7 linked regions of the Kluyveromyces lactis genome follow. The protein of the gene in region 2 binds, or shares a complex with, the protein of the main gene of each other region. Links are inferred from orthologs where the notes say so. Each region holds a gene or a part of one and is shown on either strand. Other genes may lie near its edges. The genes, in order: EAF6, EAF3, YNG2, EAF1, EAF7, ESA1 and RPD3.

Region 1 (2,172 bases), about 620 kb from region 2:
TTTTCTCTATGTCATTGACATCTGCCATTTCTACATCTCCGTTTGCATTGTTACTTACGTGTATCACTGGCTTGAACAAGAGTTCTCCAATGGTGTATAGCTGTTTGTTAGTGAAGGTGAGAGTTTTCTTATCGAGTAGGAAATTTTTGGTCAAGTCCATTGGTGACACCATATGTTGGTAATGAGGAGCCACGTCATAATTAGCATCCAATTCAATCGGAGAAACTTGCAGCATGCTATTCTTGAAGTTGGGTAGCCATTCAGTGGCATCCCTCCAGATTTTCGTTGATTTGCCCGAATCCTGCTTCAAATATTGATCGCAGATCTGCCAGTTTAAGAATGCACCACCGATCTTGTTCTCCTTGCGGTATTGTTTGAAAAGAACACCATCAATGACAACGTCCACTTTCACTCCACTGTGGCCAATGTCCACCACAATTCCACTCGATCTTCCCTGACTCAACGTGTTGCAGACAGCCTCATTCAAAAGTTGGACCATTGGAAAACCGTACCCCAACAGTTGTTCCATAAATCTCTTACGACGCGCACTGTTTAAGTCGGAAGGTAAGACAACACATACTGGATAGTCTTCGAACTGTATGCCTAGGCTTTGAAAGATGTACTGCCATTGAGCATCCATCATATCCCAATCATTTGGAAGTCCGTTCTTATCGTACAATTGGTATATTTCAGCGCTCTCATCGTCGCAATGCTCTATCATTTCCCATTTACCGAAAACTTTAACATCCGATCCATCTCTTTTATAGGCCAAATATTGAGATGGTACAATTAACTGCGGCAAATCTTGGTTGCTGAACCCACAAATAACCCTAGTCTGCGAGATCTGTATCACCACACTCTTCATGGTCGGCATCTTGAACTTGCAATAGATATAACGTAATCACTCTATATGCACCAGAACAAAGAGAAGATCTTCAATTTTCAAAAGCAGATAAGGATTAACTTCTTCAACAGCTACCTGTTTTTGCCGATTATAACTGCTATCAATGGAAAATTATGGCTCTTAAACGGGATACTAGAGTTGATAACACTGTTTATGTTGATGTTTACATGTTGGCTTTTTTTTCGTCGGTTCTTCGAATTTCAAATTCCAAACTGAGTTCCAGTACTGTTACCCGGACTCGTCGCCAATGTTAATATTGTTTGAAAGAACGCACTACTTCAACATCCAATTTGCATATATAATAACAAGAAAGGATGAAACAGACGATCCGCTATCGAACGGATTTGAATCTGGTTTTGATTGTGTTCTACTCTATCGGTAAAGTGATTTAACATAACCTAACACTCATCTCACACAACTATGGACGAACAAAAGAAAGAATACGAGAAACTAAAGAAGAAGCTTCGAGATGCTTTAGTACAGAAGAAACAACTCGAAGCCAAGTGGAATAGTTTAGAGCAAGAGGTATACGATAAAGAAACAGAGTATCTATCACAGAAACCATCTTCCAGAATGGGGAACATTCTGCTCGGGTTTCAGGGTTTCAACAAGAGCAGTTCTGCGCAGCAGATATTGTCTGACCACTCACATTCGTCAAATGCCCAGCCATTGGACGATAATGATCGCATTTTTTCATTAAGTTCGTACCTTTTTGCAAAACAATTGGCTGCTTCCAATCATCAAGAACAAACGAAGTCCAATGATTGAACAGGAAGCTTATCTGTTTGCCCTCTTCACTGAGACATATCCAGGTCCAGGACACCGGACACAAGAGACAAGAGACAAGAGACAAGAGAAACTAAGGGAGGGGGAAGAAAAACGGTATTATTTTACCCCGCATCTATTTCTCTTGAAGCACTCTTTAAATGCTCGTGATAATTAATCACTTTGTAACATTATGTATTCTCTCTTCCTAAAGTATTTTCAATTACTTACCCTTAATTTTTGAGAGGCCTCTTTTTCTTTTCATCCGTCAGATCAACGATCATAGAATCAGTTTAATCAATAAAACTTGCGTCAAACTACTCGTAGAAGCAAAGGATTGAATCGTTTACAGATTTCCAGTCCAACCGAATTGTCCCAATGTCTTAGATGAGACTCAGGTGCTATGTAATGGTGTATGTATGTGTGGTTAGCATGAATTCTAACCTCCATTCTTGATTGTTAATTGGAGTATCACTCAGCCAATCAATTTTCAGAAACTGCCA
Region 2 (3,001 bases):
TCCTTCCGAACGAAAGTCCGGTTGCAAACTATCCCATCGTCAGGATAAACATATTCACACCGAAATATCTGCTTCGGCCAGTGGTTAAGCTTATGCCTCTGTAAATGCTCATACCGTGAGAAGGTCTTCTCACAATCTGGATGAGGACAAACGTATCTGCCGCCTACTTTTTCCTCCGACGCTTCCTTACTCTCAGAACCCATCATTTTCTACCACCGTCTGCTGTACAGCGTAAATATATCAATAGATACTGAAGTACACTGCTTACTCCGAGGCTCCGACAGCTGATGATTTAAGGATAACGAACAGTATATTTATGATGTCTTGTGATTGTTATGCTATGATGAGTACGGTCGAATCGAAACTGTTTTTCAGATGTTGATCGCTTATAATCACGGCCCGGAAATAATATTTCTGGGGTCCCCGAAAAAAGGGTTTTGGGGGATATATATATATATAACGGTGTATGTGGTGGGGTCTGGAGATGTGGTAGAGATATATTACATGCTTAGTGCGACCCCCTCGTATTGGGAGGACGTGTTTATGTAGGGATCTACTGGGAAGTTTTTCCTCGCGATGTTTATGGCGATCCATTCGAGTAAAATGTCGCACTGTTTCACTAGGATCTTGGCAGTTTGGTCATCGACGTTGCTTGATTCCATCATTTCGGGGAGTAAAGTGACTAGTCTTAGTAGATGGATAATTCCGTAAATTTCAGTGTACTGTTTCTCCGAGTGTGCTTTCAGTAGTTCTGCATATTGGATTCTTTCTAGACGGTACAAGAGTAATTTCCCCAGGGATAAGTTGAAGTAGAGTTTTATTCCCTGCAGAAATTCTGAGAGTTGAGCTTGTTCTACCACTGAGGAGGTCGAATTGCTAGTATCTGCATAGAACTGGGACAAGATATGTTCGATTGGCCGTTCGCTGGGTAGTTGTACTAGCTTTCTGTCTTTTGTGACGTTTTCCCAGTCGTCTACAAGCACAGAACGAAGCGAGATAGGGACTTTTATGTGTATCTTAGGGTGTGATCTTTTGTTTAGTACTGGGGTTGCCTTCTTACGGTCGGATTTGTCAGAGCTGGAAGCTGCTGCTGTTGTACCAGAAGATGAAGATGAGGCTGGATTAGAAGCGGAAGTCGAACTTGCCGAAGTATTAGTACCACTGCCACTATTTGAGGTACGGCTGGCCGCCTTTTTGCCCTTCTCAACCTTACTAGGCCTGCCAACAGGCCGTGATCCTGATTTCTTCTTCCCACCATTGTTCTTCAACTCTCGAGCCTTTTCCACCAACGACTTCTTCAATTCCAAATTCTCATCGTTATACGGTCTGATTCGGTCTAAACCAACCCATTCGTCCCAACTCGACTTCCAGCCCTGGTAATGCACAAAATAGCATTGGCCCTGTCTCATATGTTCCGGCGGACGATCAAATTCTACTTTTTCATCGTCAATACTCACGTCTTTGTAGTCCTTTGATGTAATAGTCTGATTCTTTTCATCGTAAACTCGTAATACTTTGGCTTCATAGAGCAAAGGTCCGTGATAACACAAACATTTCCCATCTAGAACAATTGCCATGATCAACAGCTACTGAAAGTTCCCCTGGGACAATTAAATTTTGGAGAAAGACCAGCGTAGCAGGTTCAAATACTATGTGTAACTTCTGTTTCGTGAAAGTGCTAGATGGTAGCTTTAACGTAAGATTTGGCATTTGAATTTTACGTGAAGAAACATGGGAAAACGGACAGTATAGAAACAGTAGATAACACTAGGTGAGCACTTGATAGTAATGGTATATAAACCGCAGCTACTTGGAAGGAATGCAGTACTTTCCAAGAAGAAGGAAGTGGGAAATTCTGATCACGTGACAACTCACGTGATATGATATGACATTGGAAGTGACCTGATATCTCCAAGTATTGCCTCAAAGCACTAGAGTCAAACTAGTATCAATTCATAAAGTCTTGGCCACCCTTCAACACCAATTCCAGCACCACAACGCCACTAATCACGTCGCATATCCACCTCTTACCATCACACAAGGTCTGCAAAGCTCTCCTAATAATGCTGTTCTGACCTTTAATGCCAAAGTAAAGAAAAAAAAAAGTTGATGAAACAAAAACAAATTTGAAAGAAACAGCCTTTTATCACAGTGACCAAAGAAGCAAACCACAACGGTTCTGACTGGCAAGGACGATCTTTTACACGCGGACAAACATCTGTATTGGTATTCTGAGTCGATGAGACGTTATTTGAGTGGTGGCTACTGAACTATTTTATTCGAAGCAAGAGAGAAAGGAAAGGTTTCCCACATTTCCTAGTATTGTATTTTTTTGTTTCCCGATAGGACTTGATAAAACCCAGAGTCGGTGCTTTTGCAATGTCTAAACGTTCGTCCCAGCATGTGGTAGGAATTCACTATGCTGTTGGTCCTAAGATTGGGGAAGGTTCGTTTGGAATAATCTTTGAAGGTGAAAACATTCTAAATGGTGGGTCGAAGAACCCTGTTGCTATAAAGTTTGAACCCAGACGGTCTGACTCACCACAGTTACGGGATGAGTTTCGCGCATATAGGATATTGAATGATGTGAGAGGAATTCCTCATGCGTATTATTTCAGTCAAGAGGGGATTCATAACATTTTGATCATCGATTTGTTGGGTCCGTCGTTAGAAGATTTATTTGAATGGTGTAGTCGAAAATTTTCCGTAAAGACGACAGCAATGTTGGCGAAACAGATGATTGATAGAGTACGTTCTATTCACGAGCATGATTTGATATATCGGGACATTAAGCCGGATAACTTTTTGATATCTGAGTTTCAACGGGAGTTATCGGATGGGTCAGTGGTTAAGTCGTGTGCCACAAGCAGTGGTGGTGACGCAAACCTAATATACGTGGTTGATTTCGGAATGGCAAAGCAGTTTAGGGACCCAAACACAAAACAACATATACCATATAGAGAGCGTAAATCTTTGAGCGGGACTGCGCGGTACATGTCGA
Region 3 (2,722 bases), on a different chromosome or scaffold from region 2:
CTGTGTGATGGCTGAATTAGAGAAGTTGGGTCCCAAGTATCGTATAGCGTTGAAGCTAGCTCGTGATCCGCGAATCAAGAGGCTAAGTTGTTCGCATAAGGGTACTTATGCGGATGACTGTATTGTTCATAGAGTGTTGCAGCACAAGTGTTACATTGTTGCCACGAACGATGCTGGTTTAAAGCAGAGAGTGAGGAAAGTGCCGGGGATCCCATTGATGAGTGTTGGAGGACACTCCTATGTGATTGAGAAGCTACCGGGTGTGTTCTAGGATAATATAAAACTGGGATTTAGCATTATACATAGCGGTATGAGTATGTATATATATATATAACTTTTCTTAACAGGATAATAATTGTACATTAGCACAAACGGCTTCTCGCTTATGTCTGTTTCAAGCCTTTTACCAAGTCTGGGTCCCTTCCTGGGGAGACAGAACCTAATTCTACAGGAGATGCGGCAATGGTTTCACCACCGTATTTCTTTCTCAAGTATTGTTCCAATGCAAGTGTGTTCCTGGAATTTGCCTTATAAGCAATCCCAACGATATCACCAACAATGGGAATCAACCCTAATAGGAAATCGATACAGATGTTCCCCAAGAGCTCTGCCTGCAAGGGCACAGGCAAACCACCTTGAATCTTCTGTGCTTCATGGAACACTGTCCATGACAAGTACAAACATATTAGGTCACCGACCACTGGCAAAAGTCCAATGATACCGAGCCATCCAACTCTCATCCCAAATATCTTAAACATCATATCAAGCCTGTAAGCTCTTTTCCTAACCCGTTGCAACACTGTTCTGTCATTTAATGGGACATAATCTGGAATTGCTTTCTTTAGCTTCTTATGCACAACTTGGCTATTTCCAGTCCAAAACGACTTCTTCACAAAAGTAACTTCCTCATAGTACGGATCCTCACCCTCACCAATCTTAATGTCGCCAAATATCTTGTTGGAAATCTTGCGTAGAATAAATGAATAGAACACCATGGTTTAGATTCAAGGTAAAGTTAACAAAAGAAACTGTCGTCGCCTATAATCGTGGTAAATTCGGTCTTTAACAGAGTTCAAATAAGCTCATATGCCAGGACTAGCTTTTCTGAATAATAAATACTCCCAAAAACTAATGGAAACATGTTTGTGAAGTACCAAACCATGTCCCTTTATCATGACTTTTTCTATTTCAAAGCCTTTAAAGCCAGGGAAAGCTTTAAAGCAATCTGGCAAACAATTTTCCATTGAAATAGCAAAGATACGTATGTAAGAGAAGAAGCTGTACAAAGAACGCTAGGCAGGCGCAGTTAGCATTTTGGAAGGCTGTATGGAAGAATGAGTAGCATTAACGAACGACCACAGGACCCTTCGAGTGCGTTGGAGCAAGCTACACAGGATGTTGCGAACTTGAAATCAGAGTTCCATCATATCATGGATGAAATGCAGGTAGCAGATAAAACCCTGGTGAGCTCAAGAGAGCAGTACCTACGGGAGGATTACGTGCTTCATAAACTTGTGAAACAGCATGGTTCGTTGACCAAGGACCCTAAAGAGGGATCCATTACTGAGACGGTAGAAAAAGAGATGAAGCGATGCGGCGATTTGCAACAACAGAAATGCATATTAGCCAATACAGCATTGTATCTAGTAACGAAACATTTGAGCAAGATCAAGGCCAACATCGAGTCACTTGAGGAAGATGGGTTACTTGCACCCTTGGATGATGAGCTTTCGGATAAGAAGGCTGGATCTGTTGATTTAGGAGCTGGAATCGCTGGCCTTGGTAACGGAACGGCTGGATCAGGTTCCAGTTCTGGTAGGAAACGGCCAGCCTCTTCATCATCAGCGAACGGGAAAGGACAGAAGAGAAAACAGCAGAAGAAAGAGAGATCTAGGTCTCATCAGCGTGCAGGAACAGTGTCTCGTGACGTGAGTCCTAACGCTGGTATCGGTAGAGATCCGACTTTCGATGCTTTGGCATATAACGATGATTTGTTCAAGATGAACCAAGGCGGCGAAGAAGACGACAAGCAGTTGTACTGTTTCTGCCAAAGAGTATCATACGGTGAGATGGTGGCGTGCGATGGTCCAAACTGTAAATACGAATGGTTCCATTACAGTTGTGTCAACTTAACGGAACCTCCAAAGGGTCAGTGGTATTGTCCAGAATGTCGACTGGAAATTGCTAATCAGAAACTAAATAAGAAGAAGAAGAAGCAATGATCAACGAAGGTTGGTATGACCCATTCATGGTCTTCACATTTCTTCACTCCTGCCGCTCGTATATATATATATATATCCTCATATGTAAATATTTTCAATTCTATCATGTAATGTATTATTATAATTAGCATTTATTCGATTCTTATTCTATATTCGACTTTGACATCTTGTGCTCTTTGTGAAGAGATGCAGAAAAACAGGCGAAAGCTATCGAAATAGTGGTCTCTGAAAGCGCACCAATAGGCAACATGGCTACACTATTTGGAAAGACGTTGTCTCAGGTTCATCCGAAGCTTCGAACAAATGGTATTGGTATTGCAACTAACCATAGACGCATTTCGCTAGGGTTCGATTTAGTGAGCAGAGACAAGAAGAATCCGTTATTACGGAAGTATTTAAGGAAACGCAGACATCGTGGGTTGAGGCGAGGGTTGCATCCAGATGAGCAAGGTAGTTATCACACTTTGGATGAGGATTTTGGAAGCAGTGTTAGAGAACCG
Region 4 (4,158 bases), about 720 kb from region 2:
GCTTTATTAAACCAGCAACAACACTCTATTTTAGTCTGCAATGGTCCAGGTTGTTAAATTAAGTGCATTATCCAAGAAACGTGCAGTCGATGAGGAATCTGATCTTGACATATCAAGTACAGACTCAAATATTTCAGACCAAGAAAACGGTCAAGAGGAACAAGAAATCATCAACATCGATTTTGATTTCTTCAATGGTAATCCCGACGTTGATTTCCATGCTTTGAAGAATCTGATGCGTCAGTTGTTTGGACCACAGGAATCGAACAGAATTCAACTAAGTGAATTGGCAAATTTAATCTTGGACTCACCAACTACTACCATCAAAACCGATGGTAAGGAGTCTGACCCATACTGTTTCCTATCATTTATCGATTACAAGGCCAACAAAGATAGTGATTATGCCAAATATCTTCGTAAAGTTGACCCCAAGCTAGCTACTTTCCTACAAACTATAGATCAATCGGAGAAGACTTGTTCGTTAGTCTTGAGTGAAAGATTGATTAATATGCCACCAGAAGTTGTGCCGCCATTGTACACTATCACATTAGAAGATGTGAAGCTTGCGCTTGGGGATGATAAAAACTATGATTTCTACCTAATCGTTTCAAGGAAGTACGAAGTGAATTTTGATATGGACGAAGACGATCTAACATCGAACCAAGCTGTCCGCAAGAAGGTAAGACAAACAAACGAAGTAGACTATTTCCATGAAGAAGATCGTTTCCTTGAAAAGCTAGCCAAAGTCCATGTGGATTCCGAGGCGAGAAAGGGTCTTATTACATCGTACATGGTTTTGGACCATGCTGGACTAATTAAATCCATCGAAGATCTAGATGCGGCCATCAAGACCTGGTGAGTGATGTAAATGTTCAGTAGTTACATTGAGGAAGGTGATGATGGTATGTGGATTAATCCCGTTCTGGGAACCCAACAATTAACGCACGTGACCTGATCTTTAGTTACCCTCCTTACATGATTTCGGCCTCCCAAAAGAAAAAAAAATCTTTCAAGGAACAAAAAAATTGCTGAACAACATGAAATACGTACTTATATAGTAGAAATCGAGAAAACAAGCCGTAATACGGTAACAGAACAGGACCGTGAGAACACTATTCGACTCAGTTTCAAAAGTACCTGACACAGAAAAGCCTTGTTTGGTTGGACGATCCTGTTGTTTGTACAGAAGCGTGCTGTTTCCGAGACAAGCCCTCGCTAAAAGAAAAATCAGAGGACCCAGTTTCCTTTTTTTTTTTTTGGATATTTTCCTATCACTTGCCATTCAGACCGAAAGTTATATTTTTTCAACGTGACAGATATTCACAGAACATCTAATAGAAAGTAAGGATTTCAAGGCGATGAGCAGTGCAAGCAAAGGGAATGCTACTGGAAGTAAGAGCCCAGAGCAGCTCTTAGAGGAGAGACGGCACTTGCTAGTACAATTGTACTGTATCTCACAAATTACCGAGTTAAAAAACGTGGAGAATCATGAGAGAATAGGGAAGGAGATAGAAAAGTTTTTAGATCAACATACCTTGATCAAGGACAAGCCTATAGATATTAATGCATTGCCTAAGTTTAGGCCGAGAGACGTGTCGTCAGATAGGAAGCTGAATAACAGGAGTAAGAGTTCTTCACCGTCAGAAGTGAAACGAGAATTGAAGAAACAGCGGTCGAAAGACGTGTCGCCAAGTGGAAGCGAGGAACATGATGTGGATACGCAGACACTCCCGCAGTCTCAAACAAGGGTAGTTCCACGAGTTCAGTCACAGCAGTCAATTCAGCAAAGTTCAAGGCAATCTATGGTGCAAGCGCAGTCATCTCGACAGCTGCAGCAGCAACAACTGCAAAAGCAGCGATCGGTGTCTCCCACACAGAAGCTGCCGATAACACATAATAATGTTCCTCCTGTGGTAGTTCAGGCACATATGGAACCGAAATCTGTCCAATATCCGGAGACCCAATCAAAGCCAAGTACTTCTGGAAAGCGTTTGTTAGATGAGGAACAACAAGATATTTCCGAAAATCAAATAAGTAAAAGGCAACGGCTTGATAGTGGAAACCTATCTAATTCTACCGCTGCACGTAACGCTGCAACAATGGAAATTCCGCCTCATCCTTATTCTCAGATGATAGACATCTCACAATTGCATGCTGACCCAACACCAATTGGGGTGAAAGAACCTCAACCCTATATTATAGAATCTATTATCAACAATGTATCAAAGGAAGAGCGTAAGACGTTTTTCGAAGATGACATAAATGTGAAAGAGGCGGTATACATGATTACGAAAGAGAACGCGCCAACCAAGTTGGCAAAGGGTATGCCCATTCAAGAAATCAAATACTTATCCCAGACTTTGCCCTTGCTGAGATTGATACCACAATCTCAAAAAGCATTGACGACTGATCTGATTAATACTGCATTGAATGAAAGACGAATCACTGTAGTAGCATCAAGGATAGAGGAATTGAGAAGGCTGAATCTCTGGTCACTTAGACAACCAAGAAAATTTATCGATCCCGTTACCGCTTCACAACCTGTAACTCATCATAATGTGTTGATTGAAGAAGCAAAATGGATGCGTGAAGACTTCCGTGAATCGTTGAATTATAAGATAGCCATGTGCACTCAAATGGCACAGGCAGTTATGGAATTTTGGACTTATGGTAAAGTATGCTGTATCAATTGTAAAAGTATTCCACCGCCATCAAAGGACATAGAAGATATTGCTTCCTCCCAAGATATGGGAACAAAAATCAGTACAGTTGAGCCAGAACAAAAAGATAAAGAATCAAACACAAGTCCTGATCAATCCAACGATGATGGGTCTTCTAAAATTGCTGAAGATGTGGAGATGTCAGAGGATGGTGTAAAATCAAGTACCGGTTTAACTGATGGGAGTGAAGCGGTGGAAGAGAAGTCTGAAAATGGTATCAAAGAGGGGGACAAGGAAACTGATAAAAACTCATCTGAAGAGCCTACCATAGACATACAAAAGTTACTAAAGAGAGTTAACCCCAAAGATGAAATCGTCGCTCCATCTCTTCCGGTTACCTCCATGGAAGTTTATTTAGCTAAGAAATCATCCTCTCCCTTCAGGAATTACATTGATATAAAGGAATTATCAACACTGGGAGCAGCCATTTCAAACTCACTCCCTTTGTATGGTCTTTTGGACGAAAAGAATCTCGATTCTAGCAGACCATTGCCCTTTGAACCGGTTTCAAAGGCAATTTCTCCTCTTGACGAGGACCATTTCATGAAATTAGTAGAAAAGCAATTTGTTGACGAAGAACCATCTCTAGTTCCTTTATCAAAACGACGTGGTATGTTTTATGGAAATAGACGTAGCCATTATCTTCGCCCTCCTAATGCGCCATCATTACGCTATTTGAAATTTCGTACACCCACCATCTGGTTACCTGAAGATGATCAGGAGCTTGTCAAAAATATAAACCAGTATGCCTATAACTGGGACCTCATTAGTTCTCAGATGTCCAATCATCACAAAAGAGAATATGTTTCAAACATCGAACGTAGAACCCCTTGGCAATGCTTTGAGCGGTTCGTTCAACTAAACGAAAAGTTCAACATTGCAGATATGAAGGGTCCAAAGGCTCATAATGCACAAATATGGTTGTACGAAGCTCATAAATTACAGCAGCAGCAAAAAAGGAGAATATCTCCCCTTGGTGTGGGATCGGAATCCATACAACGAGGACATAGGCGTTTACGCTGGGCAAGTATGTTTGAGGCAATGAGAAAGTGCATTAAAAAAAGAGAAAACGCACCCAGACCAAATCCTTCGCAGCCGCGTAAACCTTTTGATGTTAAGAATATGAGTGTTCCAACCCCTCAAGAAATGTCAGACTTAAAAGCTCAGCGTGATGAGGCCTTGAGAAGGGATATGCAAATAAAACGTGCTGCCAAACAAAGGATGCAGATGGCTCAATTGCAGCAAGGAAAGCTTCCTCTCACTACAGCATCAAGTCCGAATTTGCCTATGGCAAATAATCCTAACTCAAAGGATTCAAGAATTAGGTCTAAGCAGTCCACTCCCCAGAGTGCACCACCACTAGGTGAAAAAGAAAAGGTTACAACTCAAACTCCCACACAGAGAAATACGAAACCGGCTAATAAACGTGAAATCATTG
Region 5 (2,851 bases), on a different chromosome or scaffold from region 2:
TAGAAAAGATCTTAGCTAACAAATACTCGTTACTGGTTTGGTCTAATTCTTTCCTCATTTGAATGTGCATGGTTTTGTTGTAGTTTTCGAGGAAGGATAAAAATTCCTGTTTCTTTGGATCGTTACTATCCATAGTTCTTAGTTTTTCGATCTTTTCATCCCAGAACTTTCTAGGATTCTTTCTAGCCTCTAGAATATATTTGTTCCATAGGAAAATTTGGGTATTATCCACTTTCAAAGCTTCCTTCAAGCTAGGTTTCTTGGCACCAAGAGCTTGTAGCACTTTTTCGGGTCTGACGTTGAAAACATCACCAGCTTTCAAGGCATATCCCGGAGAAGTAATCTTTACACCATTCACATGGACGTTGCCATGTAAAATAAACTGACGAGCTTGTCTCACTGACGAGGCAAACATAGCTCTAAACAAAGCAAAGTCTAGCCTTTTCTCTAGTACAGCGTATGTTTGTAATAGAATGGGCGTCGGTTCGATATCACCACCCCTTAGAGAAGCATCTAATTGAGCCACAGAGTTTAGCTGAGGCTCGAAAACAGACTGCCACCTACTCTCTGTTAAATGTTCGCCATGGTAGGCACGAGTTTCCTGTTTAGAAGTCCATTTCTGTTGGTATAGTGTTTTCGATCTAAAACTGACCTGAGATTTCTTATACAAGTTGAACAAATTGTACTTGTTAAAAGAGGTACGAACCTTCCCTCTGGACAAAGAGTTCAGAAGTACAGCTTTCCTAGGCATTGCTGGTCTTTTTCTTCACAATGTATTGACAAAACTAACCAGAATTGACTGCTTACGGACTCTTCGAAATGGAAATACATTGCATATCCGAACTACCTGCATAATATTTTTCAATCAAACGCTATCTAATGCTTGAAGCTTTCCGATATTGAAAAATTTTTAGAGGAATTTCGTGACATATGATATCAAATATTAGCATTCATAGTTTAGAAAGATGAGAAACACCATAGAACCATATTGAGATGGACTGGCGAAGATGGTATCAAGCCTCATACGATCTGCTTTATCAGCGATCTTGATAGGAACTTTATTATATCAATTGCAAGAACGTTCTTTTGGTGTATAAGGTTGTGATACTTCAGATAAAAGTAATACGATACGGTTCACTGCGATGTCCGCTGTAAAGATAGAATCACCTAGAGGGCAAACATGGAGTAAAGTGGAGGAAATAAGGCTGTTTAAATGGATGATGCTGTTCAAACCTGCAGGAATACATAAACACTTCCATATGGTGTGTTTGCTTGAGCGATTGAACAAGCCAGATCAGTATCCAATCAAACTTTTGCAAAGCGATAAAGGCAGCTCAGATAAAGTGTTTTCTGGGGAGGACGTTTGGGAACAATTGAGTCGGTACTATAATTTAGAGAAGGCAGATGAAGTAGAGAACCAGCCATACCCTGAATTTTATAATGATGACGGACCAACCGAAACTACAAACAAAAAGACAGAAGGGGACGCTCAACTAGATAATGATGATGACAGTGACAATGATGTTGACAATTGTGACGAGCTTAAGAGAAATATAATACCATTACAAAATAGACTCCAGCAAGAGACGGAATTTGAACTATCGTGGGAAGATTATGGAGAACTTATGTTAGAACATGCTAGGGATCATGAGGTGGAAGATATTAAGCAAGAGGAGACCGCTTCTGCGGATGACAAGGCAAAACTGAAGGGTGCGGAATCACAGGATACGCAAGTAGAACAAGAGTCAGAAGAGCCACGGGAACGAGAAAAGGATATCGATGAAAAGGATACTGAGCAAAATAATGTACAGGCGAAACAAGAAATGGCGACCACTCCGCCAGTCAGTGTTGGAGAATCTGTGAGCGAACTGGCGAATGAACCTGTCGATGAACCTGTCGATGCTCATAAGAAACCAAGGACAAGACGCTCTACAAGGTTGACACGTTCACAAAAGCGAGGCATTGATGACGAAAGTGAAAACAAAGAAGACCAACCCCATGGCGGAAACACCGATGAAAAGGAAGATGTCGAACACGATACAGAAGGGAGATCTGGTAGCGAAAAAGAATCGACTGCTGATGCCGCAGATACTACAGCTACAAAACAAGTCACATTTGCTGATGAATCTGAAGGTGCTGCCAAGGAATCAGCTAATTCGCCGACAGGGAAAGCAGAAGAGAACGAAACGGAATCATCTCAACAGCCGCGCCCTAAGAAACAAAAAGTTGCCGCTGCGGAGGAAGTTCCTGAAGATCTTGCCGACGTGGATTCTCCAGCTAGGAGAACAAGAAGAAAATCCATAACAAAACCAACTACAAGGCTCTCGAGCAGGCTTAGAAGCAGGAAGTAGTTGTTCTTGATTGTTTTTTCAATAATGCAATAACAACATAATATAGCTAATGGTTTATATTATAGGCATTTCGTTGATGTACAAAAATTGAATGTTAAAATGGAAGCATACAAACACTACGGCTACAATTTGATAGCAATTCCCATGTTGAAAGGTTGATGAGAAGGTACGGAAAGATGTAAAGCTATAATAATAATAATGGATGGGACCAATTGGAAGGAATCAAGGGAGAAACCAAAGAAAAAATGTGAAGGAAATTAATAGTATGTGTTTTATTCAGAAGAATGACATTATACATCTAGTTAATCTTCAACAATTCAACATCAAAGACTAAAGTAGCATTTGGTGGGATCAAACCTGGGAAACCACGTGGACCATAAGCGTATGGGCCTGGGATAGTTAGTCTTGCCTTTTCACCAACGGACAACTTTGGAATAGCAGCATCCCAACCCTTGATAACTTGACCTACACCAATGTTACATTGGAATGGAGAACCTCTA
Region 6 (2,969 bases), on a different chromosome or scaffold from region 2:
CAAAGAGACATCCTTATATGTTCTCAGCAAGCGAAGATAAACTTGTAAAATGTTGGGATCTAGAAAGAAATACTGCAATTAGGGATTTTCACGGTCATTTATCTGGCGTGCATACCGTTGATGTTCATCCGAGCCTTGATATAATAGCTACTGCTGGTCGTGATGCTGTAGTAAGGTTGTGGGATATACGATCAAGATCTGAGATAATGGTTCTGCCCGGTCATAAAAGCCCTATAAATAAAGTCAAATGCCTTCCCGTTGACCCACAAATAATCAGTTGTTCCGGGGATGCAACAGTTAGACTTTGGGATATCATTGCAGGGAAGGCAAGCAAAGTTTTAACGCACCATAGTAGAAACATCAGAGACTTGACGCTACACCCAGCAGAGTTTAGCTTTGCCAGTGTATCTACGAACGACGTCAGATCCTGGAAATTGCCCGAAGGACAGCTATTAACCAACTTTCAATCCCAGAACACTGGGATTTTGAATACCGTATCAATTAATCACGATAATGTACTATTAGCTGGTGGAGATGACGGTACTTTGTGCTTTTACGATTACAAAACAGGACACAAATACCAAAGTATGATGACAACTGAAGTTGCTGGCTCACTTGAAAGTGAGCGATCGATTTTATGCAGCACCTTTGATGTCACAGGAACAAGACTCATCACAGGGGAAGGAGACAAAAGCATCAAAATATGGAAGCAAGTCCCTGATGCTACAGAAGATACATTCCCTGGCTTGCCGTGGAATCCCACGTTAATATCTCAAAGATTCTAATCTAGCTGGTGTCTACTTGCAGCGACTTATGTAGAAGTTTGTAGTTTAACTCTATTAGGTCCCCGTTTTCCATCTATCTAGAATATTTCAGTCTGCATTAATTGCGAGGTTTGCTCTAACTGTCATATGATTACAGTCACGTAGTCAAGGACAGGGAACGTCAGGTTTTCTTGTATGTTTGTTCAAGCATGGTGTTTGCTTTAATACGGTAATCTGAATAAATTAACTGAAATTTAGCATCTTCAAAATATTTGAACTTATTAGTTACGCAATAAACCAAATCCAAAAACAGAGCACCTCTGTAAGAGGAACTAGTAAGGCAAGGCAACTGTTTAACAAATATTTTGGGCGAGCTCGCTAATACATGAGTCACGGCGAAGAAAAGGAACCTGGGATTCCCCAGAAGGTTGACAGCATCGATGAGATTTTCGTTGGATGCAAGTCATGGGTACTAAAAGATGGTCAAGATCGTCTTGCTGAAATTCTATCCATTAACAGCAGAAGAGATCCACCTAAGTTCTACGTGCATTATGAAGACTTCAATAAACGTCTAGATGAATGGATCACTGCTGATAGGTTACAGATAGACAAGGAAGTCATTTTTCCTAGGCCTAAAGAGCTTGAAGAGAAGAAAGACTCGAAGAAAAAGAAGCAGCAACAGAATAAAAGTGCTACACCACAAGCAGCCAGTGCTACTCCGGATGGTGGGGATGTGATGGATTTGGATAATTTGAATGTACAAGGGATTCCTAATGAAGATATTTCCAGAGAAGATGAAATAAAGAAGCTTCGTACATCGGGGTCAATGACACAGAATCAGAATGAGGTGGCTAGAGTTAGAAATTTGAACAAGGTGATTATGGGCAAATATGAAATAGAGCCATGGTACTTTTCACCTTATCCAATAGAGTTGACTGATGAGGATGTGGTATATATCGATGATTTTTCCCTACAATATTTCGGATCAAAGAAACAATATGAACGATACAGAAAGAAATGTACTCTACGACATCCTCCAGGTAACGAGATATATAGAGATGACTATGTTTCCTTCTTTGAAATTGATGGTCGGAAACAGAGGACATGGTGCCGTAATCTATGTCTTTTGTCTAAACTTTTCTTGGATCATAAAACGTTGTACTATGATGTTGATCCATTTTTATTTTACTGTATGACTAGGCGTGATGAACTAGGCCATCATATTGTCGGTTATTTCTCAAAGGAAAAGGAATCAGCTGATGCTTATAATGTGGCATGTATTTTAACACTACCTCAATATCAAAGAATGGGTTACGGTAGACTATTAATCGAGTTTTCTTATGAGTTATCTAAGAAAGAGGGTAAAGTCGGATCACCAGAAAAGCCGTTATCGGATTTGGGTTTGTTATCTTACAGAGCATACTGGGCCGACACCTTGATTAAGCTTTTGGTAGAGCACGGCCAGGAAATCACCATCGATGAAGTTAGTTCAATTTCCTCTATGACTACCACTGATATTCTTCATACTGCAAAAGCCTTAGAAATATTAAGGTTCTATCGAGGTCAGCATGTACTGTATTTGAATAGCGATGTGATGAAAAGGTACAAAAAGCTAAAGAATAATAAGAGGAGATCTATAGATCCTCAAAAATTAATCTGGACACCCCCAGTATTTACCGCTTCACAATTACGTTTCGCATGGTAAATAATGCATCGTGAATTGCGGTCTATGTTATTGTTTGTTAACGTTATGTTGGTATATATAAGGGTAGTTAAGTTTCGGTATACGCATCATATGTAATATTATTCAATCAAAAGGAAATAGTCTTACGTCTTTATTAGCCATTTGAGATGCCGCAATCGCACTAGGGACTGCAATACCGCAACAATCCGCCCAAGTACTATGACCATGCGATCCATCAGTACAGCATGAATCATCTTCATGATGATCTTGTGCGCGTGCTGATGGTTCACTAACGCCCTCGGGACATTTCAAGAAATATCCGAAATAGAAATGCTGCATGATTGGTAATTTTTGTAGAACCTCTGCCTTATACATTTTTACCATGCCTTCAGCAACTTTTGACCACCGTTTCACCCCGCTTATATCATCCAACATAGGTGAATGCCATCTCAAACTAGCTGTGGTTTTAACTTTATTAATGAATGCAATGCAGCCGAAATATAGATACCTGTCTTGGAACA
Region 7 (3,284 bases), about 1.0 Mb from region 2:
ACCTTTAACAGCCATTGCAAAATTTACTAACTGTGATTTGAATGTTTAGATACAACGTATCTACTATCAGATAATATATATCTCTATATGAAATAGGATAAGCTTTATTCTTGTGTAATCGACCTATCTGATCTTAACTTTTAAATATCCATTCGCTTCTGGATTTTCATTTTTTGATCTTTTTCATATATAGATTTGTTACTGACAACCGAAGTGCAGATGTAAGTCATATCTGAACTGGAATAGTATTACGTGGAAAATTATGGCAAATACCGATACTGACGGAGGGAAAACACGATAGAAAATTGACCTCATTAGATCAATTCTAACTTGGGCACCAATCTGTATATTCAGCATCATATTAACCGTCGGATGAATGACATATAACAGTGATTAGGTGAGTGACGATAAAACCTGTAGCAAATGCGGAAGAGTACTTCTAAGTGTAAATATATTATAATACAGTAAATAATAAAAGATCATCTGTTTTTGTTTTCTGGCTAAAATTCGGTTGCATTCTCAATGGTTATGTCTCTTGCATACTGAGAACCTCCTCTAGTGTCCTTCGCAGCTGCAGTATCTTCTTCGGCGTCACCTTTGTCCTCCGCATCGCGAGGAACGTGATTGAGTTGAACGCTTGGGGCATATTTAGTATGCTCTAGATTGCTGAAAATATTAAGTAGCACTTTATCCAAATACTCCGGTGTATTGACGTTATACATATTAGATGGTCTGACATCCAATTTGTAATCAGGGCCATAATATTCGTAGTAATCGTTGTAAGGAAGTTCTTCATCCAAAATCACATTATTCAGAATACCCGTTTCGAAAGCCCATGTACGAGCCACGTTTCGCATTGTATAACCACCACCACCAACAATCATGAGAGGAACACCGAACGATTTCATGTAGTTGACACAGTTTGCGTGACCCTTCATTGAAAGGTTGAAACAACCTAAACGATCGCCGGATAAAGAGTCACCACCGCATTGGAGTACCACGGCAGAAGGTTGGTACCATTCCATAATTTTACCTATGACTGGTTCAAATACCGATTTGTAAGTGGCATCGTCAATACCGTCCCTTAATGGGACATTCACAGCATAGTATTTACCTTTCCCGACACCAGTATCTCTCAATTCACCAGTACCTGGGAAGAATTCCCCATATTTATGGAAAGAACATGTCATAACTCGATCCGTAGTATAAAAAGCTTCTTCTACACCATCACCGTGATGCACATCAATATCAATATAAAGAACACGAGGATGGTACCTTAACAACTCGATGATACCTAGCACTATATCGTTCAAGTAACAGAACCCTGAAGCTTCCGATTTTTTGGCATGATGTAAACCACCAGCATAGTTAATGGCAACATCACATTTGCCTCGGTTTAATCTGGCTGCACCCTCCATAGAACCACCTCCAGATATACTACAGTACTCGTACAAACCATCAAACACAGGACAATCGTCTCCAACGTTGAATTTCACACTCTCCTTTTGGAACATATCTAAATTATCTGGAGTGACTCGAGACAAGAAATCAATATATTCATCGGTATGGAACTGACACATCTCCTGTTTCGTTGCAGGTTTAGCCCTGTAAATTTCCATCTTCTTATACAAACCGTAATTCATAATCAACGAATGTGTCATTCTTATTCTATGTGGTTTCATAGGATGTCCTGCACCATAAGCATAGTTTCCCACATCAGCATCATAAAAGTATGCAACTCGCTTCTTCTCGTTAGCCTTCACCGTTATCGGGTCAAAAGGTTTAGCTTCGTATACCATACCGTCCACGCACAATTAATCTTAATAGTTTCGCTAAGTTGGAGAGCCGGTACAAATTTTTCACCTCTTGTTTATATAGCTTTCTTGGTATGTTTTCGACATAAATCAAGGTTTTAATAGAAATCACTACCTTCATTTTTCACCGTCTCCATCAATATAGAATTTCCAAGCAGCTAAAGAAAGAAGAAAAGCCTTAAAGAGATCTGTCATGTTACACGAGTTGAAGAAGATTAAGAAGTAGACCAACTTTTTACTGACCAGATCATCCTGCATGGATGAGTTAATATATTTGTTATATATGATTTATAATAATATTCGATATGATTACTTATTAACGATCATTGAGATTCGAAACTACTCTTTAATCTCAAGTAATGTCTTAATTCATCCTCAGAAACACTTGGTATTAGATTCTGTTGAGCAAGCTCGAAGTCTTGTAATTTTACCACGACCTTCAAGTCATTCTCGTTTGCCACGTTATCAAACCAATACCTCAATGATATATTCTTTTTATTTTCCATGTTATACTTCTCCCACTTTTCATCAACTTCACCAGCAACTCTAGTCATAGCGTTTAAAAGGGCATCAGAACACAATGCGTAGAAATCTGCACCTGTATAGTTGAACGGACATTTTTTGGCAATATCTAGTATATCGATACCAGATTCTAGTGTGAACTTTCTCGTCAAAGCCTTGATGATATTTGCCTGTTTTTTATCGGTATCTGATATCCCCAAATATAACATCTTGTCAAACCTACCGGGACGTAATAATGCTTCATCAAGAAGATCTGGCCTATTCGTAGCTCCAATTACGAACACTCCGTCTCCTCCTGAACTCATTCCGTCTAGTTCTGCCAAAAGTTGAGACACAATACGATCCATAACACCCCCAGAATCTCCCTGATTTCCTCTCTTTGGTGCCACGGAATCAAGTTCATCGAAAAAAATGACACATGGCTTAGCATCTCTTGCTTTCTGGAAGACACGTCTAACATTTGCCTCGGATTCACCAATGTACATGTTAAGAAGTTCAGGCCCTTTAACACTGAAAAAATTTAAAGAGAAGTTAGACGCAATTGCCTTCGCTAACAAGGTTTTACCAGTCCCAGGAGGTCCATAGAAAAGAATACCACTTCTCTTTTTCATACCAGATGAAAATAGTTCAGGGTGCTTGAGTGGCATATCTATGGTATCCATGATTTCTCCTTTGACCACATCCATCCCACCAATATCATCCCAAGTCACGTTAGGAATTTTAGGAGCTCCGATAGAGTCTGAGAATCTATCTCTTGCAATATTTATGACTGCAGTTATATCGGTCATATCAATTAGAAGGTCGTTCTGCTTTAGACGTTGGTAACATTTGTACTTGACAGCTTTGACGATTGATCGTATATCCATTGGAGTCAAACCAGCCGATTGAACAGATACTGTCTGCAATGGAACATTATGCGATATTAGTGACCTCAGTTTTGGAGTTTGG

The links.
Region 1: EAF3 (region 2) and EAF6 share a complex: the UniProt entries of both Saccharomyces cerevisiae proteins name them as parts of the nuA4 histone acetyltransferase complex. The link is inferred for Kluyveromyces lactis from reciprocal best matches to the Saccharomyces cerevisiae genes EAF3 and EAF6.
Region 3: EAF3 (region 2) and YNG2 share a complex: the UniProt entries of both Saccharomyces cerevisiae proteins name them as parts of the nuA4 histone acetyltransferase complex. The link is inferred for Kluyveromyces lactis from reciprocal best matches to the Saccharomyces cerevisiae genes EAF3 and YNG2.
Region 4: EAF3 (region 2) and EAF1 share a complex: the UniProt entries of both Saccharomyces cerevisiae proteins name them as parts of the nuA4 histone acetyltransferase complex. The link is inferred for Kluyveromyces lactis from reciprocal best matches to the Saccharomyces cerevisiae genes EAF3 and EAF1.
Region 5: EAF3 (region 2) and EAF7 share a complex: the UniProt entries of both Saccharomyces cerevisiae proteins name them as parts of the nuA4 histone acetyltransferase complex. The link is inferred for Kluyveromyces lactis from reciprocal best matches to the Saccharomyces cerevisiae genes EAF3 and EAF7.
Region 6: EAF3 (region 2) and ESA1 share a complex: the UniProt entries of both Saccharomyces cerevisiae proteins name them as parts of the nuA4 histone acetyltransferase complex. The link is inferred for Kluyveromyces lactis from reciprocal best matches to the Saccharomyces cerevisiae genes EAF3 and ESA1.
Region 7: the proteins of EAF3 (region 2) and RPD3 are in contact, whole or in part, in a cryo-EM structure (PDB 7YI3), measured with the Saccharomyces cerevisiae proteins. The link is inferred for Kluyveromyces lactis from reciprocal best matches to the Saccharomyces cerevisiae genes EAF3 and RPD3. Residues at the interface, in NP_015348.1 of Saccharomyces cerevisiae: Leu304, Asp307, Ser392, Gln393, Gly396, Val397, Met401; in NP_014069.1 of Saccharomyces cerevisiae: Arg99, Val102, Lys103, Ser155, Glu156.

What each region holds. Positions count from the first base shown.
Region 1 is NC_006041.1:567,752-569,923, forward strand, and holds EAF6 (Eaf6p), read left to right. Parts: upstream 1-1,324; coding exon 1,325-1,672; downstream 1,673-2,172. Other genes in the region: ARP7 (Arp7p), read right to left, coding at 1-874. UniProt on the Saccharomyces cerevisiae protein: Component of the NuA4 histone acetyltransferase complex which is involved in transcriptional activation of selected genes principally by acetylation of nucleosomal histone H4 and H2A. The NuA4 complex is also involved in DNA repair.
Region 2 is NC_006041.1:1,191,102-1,194,102, forward strand, and holds EAF3 (Eaf3p), read right to left. Parts: upstream 1,578-3,001; coding exon 501-1,577; downstream 1-500. Other genes in the region: KLLA0_E13487g (C2H2-type zinc finger protein), read right to left, coding at 1-206; casein kinase YCK3, read left to right, coding at 2,380-3,001. UniProt on the Saccharomyces cerevisiae protein: Component of the NuA4 histone acetyltransferase complex which is involved in transcriptional activation of selected genes principally by acetylation of nucleosomal histone H4 and H2A. The NuA4 complex is also involved in DNA repair.
Region 3 is NC_006037.1:630,072-632,793, reverse strand, and holds YNG2 (histone acetyltransferase YNG2), read left to right. Parts: upstream 1-1,334; coding exon 1,335-2,222; downstream 2,223-2,722. Other genes in the region: rRNA-processing protein FCF1, read left to right, coding at 1-271; KLLA0_A06996g (DUF4112 domain-containing protein), read right to left, coding at 384-995; KLLA0_A06952g (uncharacterized protein), read left to right, coding at 2,471-2,722. UniProt on the Saccharomyces cerevisiae protein: Component of the NuA4 histone acetyltransferase complex which is involved in transcriptional activation of selected genes principally by acetylation of nucleosomal histone H4 and H2A. The NuA4 complex is also involved in DNA repair.
Region 4 is NC_006041.1:1,912,891-1,917,048, forward strand, and holds the start of EAF1 (Eaf1p), read left to right. Parts: upstream 1-1,358; coding exon 1,359-4,158. Other genes in the region: protein-transporting protein BCP1, read left to right, coding at 41-859. UniProt on the Saccharomyces cerevisiae protein: Component of the NuA4 histone acetyltransferase complex which is involved in transcriptional activation of selected genes principally by acetylation of nucleosomal histone H4 and H2A. The NuA4 complex is also involved in DNA repair.
Region 5 is NC_006037.1:1,007,818-1,010,668, forward strand, and holds EAF7 (Eaf7p), read left to right. Parts: upstream 1-1,142; coding exon 1,143-2,351; downstream 2,352-2,851. Other genes in the region: NAM9 (mitochondrial 37S ribosomal protein uS4m), read right to left, coding at 1-751; peptidylprolyl isomerase FPR1, read right to left, coding at 2,650-2,851. UniProt on the Saccharomyces cerevisiae protein: Component of the NuA4 histone acetyltransferase complex which is involved in transcriptional activation of selected genes principally by acetylation of nucleosomal histone H4 and H2A. The NuA4 complex is also involved in DNA repair.
Region 6 is NC_006042.1:1,032,524-1,035,492, reverse strand, and holds ESA1 (NuA4 histone acetyltransferase complex catalytic subunit ESA1), read left to right. Parts: upstream 1-1,149; coding exon 1,150-2,469; downstream 2,470-2,969. Other genes in the region: mRNA splicing protein PRP46, read left to right, coding at 1-785; peptidylprolyl isomerase RRD2, read right to left, coding at 2,572-2,969. UniProt on the Saccharomyces cerevisiae protein: Catalytic component of the NuA4 histone acetyltransferase (HAT), a multiprotein complex involved in epigenetic transcriptional activation of selected genes principally by acetylation of nucleosomal histones H4, H3, H2B, H2A and H2A variant H2A.Z.
Region 7 is NC_006041.1:185,677-188,960, forward strand, and holds RPD3 (histone deacetylase RPD3), read right to left. Parts: upstream 1,800-3,284; coding exon 501-1,799; downstream 1-500. Other genes in the region: lumazine synthase RIB4, read right to left, coding at 1-15; PEX6 (AAA family ATPase peroxin 6), read right to left, coding at 2,138-3,284. UniProt on the Saccharomyces cerevisiae protein: Catalytic component of the RPD3 histone deacetylase (HDAC) complexes RPD3C(L) and RPD3C(S) responsible for the deacetylation of lysine residues on the N-terminal part of the core histones (H2A, H2B, H3 and H4).